2 linked regions of the Saccharomyces cerevisiae S288C genome follow. Changing the gene in region 2 together with the main gene of any one other region gives a genetic interaction. Each region holds a gene or a part of one and is shown on either strand. Other genes may lie near its edges.

Region 1 (3,353 bases), on a different chromosome or scaffold from region 2:
GTTTCATAAGAATGTTGCTGAAAGGACTTTGAGTGAATTGTGAACAGTTTGATAATTATTGGTCCAAATGGCGACATTGAAGACACAGTGTAAATTATTCAATGATGATTTGGCCTGGTTTTTACAAATGATTTTATCGACGTCAAGAGGATACAGTTCAAGAACGGTTAAGCGACATTGACAAAAAATGCTCAAAAACCACTGGTGCAACTTTACTGGTGGCAGTTTTTTGAAGTGAAAAGGAACTTTATTCTGGAGCGGAAGAAATTCAATAAATGTCACCACAATACCGATGCTATTCTTAGATGATCGATAAAATTAAGTACTATCTGTCGGTTTCTCAAATAACAGTATAAATATTTAGTTCACATTTAGAGACGGCTGAATCGTAACAAAATATAGTTCTTATAGATCTAAAGTACGAACACTCCTAATGTATCGCTTATATTGAAGTTTGCTGTGAATCTAGGACGCGTCTGCTGAAATATGCTGAATCAGTTTCCGGTGAAAGACTTTAATTTTGATATTTACCTACGTTATTTACAAGTGAATTGAAATATTCATCAACGTTATGTGTAACTGTCAATATTCTCCAAAAATCCTTTGAATTCCAAGCCGATTAAATCATTTCTATCACAATCATAAATCATGCCCTTTTCGACTTTAATTGTTAAGCCTTTATCTTTAATCTTCACTGAAAATTTAGGCCCCGAGAAATATTTCCATTGTTCGCTCTGTAAGGTGTTCATAGCATCTTTAATCTCATCGTTTATAGATTTAAACTCGTCACAGTAATATATAGGTATTTCGCCGTCAACTTTGAATGTTTTCTGAAAACGCTCGGATACCACTGCAATGAACTGATTAGGAGTAATTATACCAACATTTTTGATTTTTGATTTTACACTATGAACTCCACTTGACTCCCATTCCATATTGTTCGGTAGTGAGGGTTCTAATAAGCCGCTAAACTGTTCTAAATCCGCATTAAGCAACATCGTTGCATGATGGTATGCTTTGCCACCGGCAATTTTATAAGCACTGCCACTAATTTTAAACCCGTCCTGAATAATATCTCCTCTCTCATTCAAATCTAGTCTTAGTTCGGGATTCAATGAATTTAACCACTTAATTATCATTTTGTTGAAAAACTTTGTTTCGAATTTCTCCCTTGATGTTAAATATGAATAATTAACATTGCCCAAATCATGCAGTACAGTGCCACCTCCAGAAAATCTTCTAAGTAGTTCGAAATTCTTACTCTTCAGCTTAGCAAGATCTACTTCCTGCCACAGATTTTGGTTTTTGCCTATAACGGCGCACCTATCATTGATGTAAAATAACAGTCTGCAATTATCGGGACCTCTTTTGGCTCTTGGTGTATTCTTGAAAACATAGTTTTCAAGGGCCAAATTATAATAAGGACTGGTGGATAAACTTTGTATAACAAATCTGCCCTTTGCCTTTACTATATTTTCCAATTGTGAAGCAGACATGATCTGTTTGGCATATCCAATATTATAGAAATTGTACAAGTCTTTATTAAAAGCACTGATATCTTCTTCCATAGAGCTGGCCTTCGTCGTATCATAATCAGATTTACCTTCATCCTGCAAAATTGAAACGTTATCATTTGAAGGTGTAAACATGTTTTCATACATTGAGTTTATATCATGATATTTATCGTCTGCGTCTTTTGCCCATCGTGTAAGTGTGTGAAATAAAGTGGTGCAATGTATGAGGTTTCGCTGTCCCACATATCGAGGGGAGAGTGCCCAATTACTTAGCATCATAGACATAATGTAAACATCAAAGAAAAGTCTAGTGTTTTCTTCTTTTGTATTCATCAAAAATTCTACATACGTGAGCTCGGAGATTTTTGGATGTTCAATATTCCTGATTAAGTATGACGAAGCGGAACGCATAGCTATCCTTTGCGTAATGATGAATATGAACAATGCGAATGAAGATCATCGATATCTTTGCACTAAAAGACTACTTTGAAGGAATCCTCAAGATATTAAACCCACCAATCTTTTTTACTGGTATAAATTCTCGTACGGGTTCACAGGAACAATGATAAATGAGAGCGTTTCCAAGAGAGAAGGATTCCACGAGTCTATAAGCAGAGAGACGAGTGCAAGCAACGCTTTAGGACTATACAATAAATTTAACGATGAGCGAAATCCCAGGTATCGAACGATGATTGCTGAGCTGCACGAGTTTTTTCACCTTACTTTAGCTGAAACTATAACTGAAACTGACGTGAAAGAATTGGAGTGTAATAAAGAAAAGGCCGCTAAATTTAGAAAGCTAATGCCTAAGATGTTGAACAATTGCCGTGAATTAACGCAAAGGAAATCATACATTCCTTACAACTCAGAATTTAATGGGAATGACGAAAAGCAAAAGAAGTTTCAGCTGCTACATCAACACCAAATTGTGCTGAGTTTTCAAGAATTTTGTGATGAATTGGCAAAGTTAATAATTGACGCGCACGTCCTTAGCTTTTTGACCAGATGCGACTATTCTTATGAAATTATACCCAAAAATTGGACCTCTTTTTACAAGCTATTTCAGTACGTAATGGGTGCCGTTGGTCCTATTATATCGTATGTGCCGGTAAATTATCCCATGATAAGAAAAGAACTAGGATTTGAGACCTTAACGATATTTCAGTATTATGATTCCAAACTTTTCGAATGTATGAAGTCACATTTTGGAAGGGAATTTTCCACCCTTGTAAGCGCTACTATTCATCACTATATTCATATGTTTCCAATAACGAATACAATGTTAGAGAAGGAAGTTCCTATGCTCCGTATAATGTCTAACTGCAATTTTAGTATAGAGGGCTTGAGCCCCAAAGATTTTTATATGAAAACTCTCAGACAATATTACTGTGAGGAATCAAATTTAAGGCCGAGGCTGGAAACTTTCAAGAATTTTAAGGTACTATTGACGAGGAATGCATTATTAGCATCTTTATTTTCCCCTGAATGGGTCAGCGATGCAAATGACCTATTTATAAGCCATCTACTGTTGAACAAGAAGTCTATTAGCGAATACATAGAAATTGGGAAGGACACTTATGATGAAGAAAAAGAGAGATATTTCAAAACTGAGACACACTTTAGCTTATTGATGTTTAGAAATGCTTTTGAAGCAAAAAATATGCTGTCAAAATTCAAGGAATTCTGTGATGATGCCGTTTCAGAAAAGTTAAAGGCAGCATATGGATCCAATCATGATACTGAAAGGCTATTTGATGAGGTAGTTCAGCTAGCTAATGTAGATCACCTCAAAATATACTCCGATTCCATCGAGTACCATTTATGTAATTTACTTGGAAG
Region 2 (3,504 bases):
TTGAAAACTATGAGCATTTTGCTTTCTGAAGAAATGGTTCTGTTAACTAGATGAGATGAGATTGATATATTTGAAAAATTTTAACCGATGACCTTGCGGCTCCTCCGGGTAATACTTTTTTCTCACATAAATATCAAAAAATAACGACGGTATTTCAATAATACTTTTATATAAGTAATGATAACATGCGAGGCAATTTATTACAAGCCACGTAGGCCTAATTAAAATTATAAACTAACACTAAAGTAATAATAATATTTCAGATTAATAAAAGAACAGGAAATAGGAAAGAGATAAAAAAAAATTAGGAACATAAAATAAAAAATAAAGAAGAAATTGAAGGAGTGACTGGATAAAAGAAGTGTATGATAATATCAAATGGAAATTTGAATATATTTTATTCCAAAAAATTTTTTTTCTTTTCCAAGTGAAATATAAACAGCGGATCAAAGGTGAAAAAAATCATAGTATTTTGTTCATTAAATTTTCCGAGGGGAAAGAGAACAAATTAATAGAAAATTATTATTCAGCAACTTTCGTAGGTTTAATTTTATCAGCAAATTCACCCAGAATTTGTAACTCAAAATCATTAAAATCAAACAAATTTGGTAGCTTGATTGGTTCAGTGAAACCTCTTGGTAAGAAAGTGTCATCATTCCTTAATTCATTAAAGAACTGATGGGCAAGGATTCTTCTTGGAGACAGTCTTTGTTGTGGTTCGTAGACCAATATTTTCATCAAAAGATCGATACCATCTGGACCGGAATGGCCAAAATACTTCTCAAACCTCTGTTGCGAAGAGCCCGAGAACAGTGGTTTGGAAAATAGAGGGCCATCGTAGGCCGGATTCGAAAAGAAAATGAATCTTTTATCGGGAGGACCTAACAATTTAGCAATTTCCCTTAGCTGTAGAAGGGGTTCTTGACCTTGAAATATGGCTTTGCCGATAAGCATCTCGCCCATGACACAACCAAGCCCCCATATATCGATCTGGGTGGTATATTGGGTACAACCAATGATCAATTCAGGCGCTCTATAAAATCTTGAACAGATGTAACTAATTGAAGGCTGGTTATGTTCCAATTTTTTGGCAGACCCAAAATCGCAGATTTTCAAGACACCGGTTTCCGGGTCTACAAGAACATTGGATGGTTTGATATCACGATGACAAACGCCAAGACCGTGTAAATAAAGCATCCCGCGGGCAATCTGATAAGTGTATAGCCTGATATGTTTTAATGGCATTTCTAGCTTGTTTGTCACATAACGATTAATCTCGATTTGTAGAGTTTCTGGTAAGCATTCCATGGCAAGGTGTTGATAAACTTTATTATCTTGCGGGGACAAATGAGTAAAGAAATACTGCAATTTAACGATATTTGGATGGTCGGCAATCCTCAGAATCTGTAATTCCCTGGACTTGTACTCGGTATGAGCAGGGACTTTTTTAATTGCAAAGGGGCCCAACCAGTTTTTCTTATCCTGGGTTAAATATGCTTGTACAACAGTCCCAAAGGCACCTCTACCGATTTTCCTGTACTCTTTCACCAGCATCCGCCTCGTGTTGTTCGATTTATTCGAGGTTACATCGTCTGCAATGAATTCAGATCCCCTTTGCAGAGGAACACCATTCTGCTCTTCCGTAGACATATGTACTAGAATGTGATGGAGTGGGGGTTTCGGAAAATAAAAAGAAAATTGAAAGATGAAGCAAAGAACTCTGTAGTCTTGGGCTTAACTCCTATCAATAAACACGTTACGGGCCTGCCCACACTACTAACACGACACAATGGCACTCACTTGCGAAATCTATGTCGTTTTCCCTTGGAGGTTACGCCTGCCCTCTTCCGCATATGAAGGTCGCTTTTTTCAGTGTTGTTTGTGGGTCACTGAACTGTCATTACATACGAACTGAGTGGAAGCAAGAATGCTGCTTTCGAAAGCCACTACAGCTACGTGTGATCATATAATTCCTGCATAATATGGCTGCATGCTTTTTAATGATAGCTTCAATTATGATGATAATCACTGAGCTACTAGTATTCCATTATTCAGCCTAAGATTGGAACTTTCTATAGCAGCGGAGAGTGTTTGTTTCGTACTTCGTGACTGTTTGGCATAATAACGATGAATTGGGAAAGAGGGAAGACAAAATGAGAGTAAATCAGGTGGAAAGCAGTGGTTCTTCTGAAAAGAAAAAGTGACAGTGTGAACTGTTATAGTTACGTGTGATGCTGTTACAACCTGTTTGGAAAGGCTGCCGATGGACGCAGTTTGTCAGGCCTATCAGAAGATGGAATTCTACCGGCACGAATAGAGGAGTTCCTTTTTCATTTAAGGATATTTCAAATCAGGAGGATATCACGAATATCTCGTATCCTTCGTCCTCTGACTCAGTTTTGACAAAGTCAAATGGTAGTAGTGAGGTTTACAAGCCCAAAGAGGAAGTAGTTAAGTACATTCTACATGGCAAGTTTACTAAAAATAACACGCATTTGACATTTTCAAGCGTTGTGGAGGACAAGAACTTTCATAAGAATAAGGGACTTACGTATAATGATACAATGCTGTACTATTTGAACTTACCCCAGAAAGTGAAGATTTCGCTATCTACAGGTTGTTTAGGGTTTAGGAAGGCAGCAAGAGGGGAGTATGAAGCTGCATTTCAAACCAGTGGTAGAATGTTTGAATTGATTAAGGAAAAGAACATGCTGAACAAAGATATCGAAGTGGTGATGGACGACTTTGGGAAGGGCAGAGCTGCTTTTATTTCCGCTCTTGTTGGTAAGGAAGGGGCCAGTGTGGTGAAAAAGGTTGTGAAGATCAGCGATGCCACCAAATTGAAGTTTGGTGGTGTAAGATCACCAAAGATGAGAAGACTATGATCAGCTCCCACTATGTATGAATTATAAACTATGTAAAAGAAGAAGAAATATATATATATTCGTGTAAATAATTCGATTTTTCCCTTTTTTTAATTGTCGTCGTTAGAGTTGGCCAAAATCCTTAAAATAGACAAAAACAAATTGACGATGTCCAGGTAAAGCATCATGGCGCATCTAACTTCTTCATCAGGATACACTTTCCTAAAAATCAGTTGCGTATCGATGAAAAGATACGCGGTAAATAAAATGGCACCAAGCCAGCCGTAAAGCAGATTAAACTTGGAAGAGTGGGTATTCCAGCCGAAAAGCAAGGCCGTGAGACCCATTCCGATCATAATCCATAGACCCCAGTTTAACCAATAGTATATTGACGTTGCGGAATTCAGCACGTTCTCGAATCTCTCTGATAGTGCGGTCAAGGAAACGCCGACTACGACGATGGTGGTGATCAGCAGAGCCGAAAGTACTGTATCCTTATCGTACGCTAAGGTTACCAGCGACAGACAGTAAGCCTCGGAAAGAGTGAAAATGGAGAGCAGCGTGAGCTTTTGCTTGTACGAGGACAAGACGTACCAAGGCAGACGCCTTTGCTCTTGTGCCGGCTCTTCGCTGCTGCCCG

What was found. A genetic interaction does not mean that the proteins touch.
Region 1: mutations in MCK1 (region 2) and AIM22 together harm fitness more than expected from each alone (negative genetic interaction), as found in Saccharomyces cerevisiae (4 studies listed by BioGRID, with this or other methods).

What each region holds. Positions count from the first base shown.
Region 1 is NC_001142.9:350,832-354,184, reverse strand, and holds AIM22 (putative lipoate--protein ligase), read right to left. Parts: upstream 1,800-3,353; coding exon 570-1,799; downstream 1-569. Other genes in the region: cullin RTT101, read left to right, coding at 2,077-3,353. UniProt on the Saccharomyces cerevisiae protein: Catalyzes both the ATP-dependent activation of exogenously supplied lipoate to lipoyl-AMP and the transfer of the activated lipoyl onto the lipoyl domains of lipoate-dependent enzymes.
Region 2 is NC_001146.8:55,924-59,427, forward strand, and holds MCK1 (serine/threonine/tyrosine protein kinase MCK1), read right to left. Parts: upstream 1,651-3,504; coding exon 523-1,650; downstream 1-522. Other genes in the region: mitochondrial 37S ribosomal protein uS11m MRPS18, read left to right, coding at 2,232-2,885; BXI1 (Bxi1p), read right to left, coding at 2,975-3,504. UniProt on the Saccharomyces cerevisiae protein: May be an autophosphorylating tyrosine kinase, a bifunctional (serine/tyrosine-specific) protein kinase, or a serine kinase that is a substrate for an associated tyrosine kinase.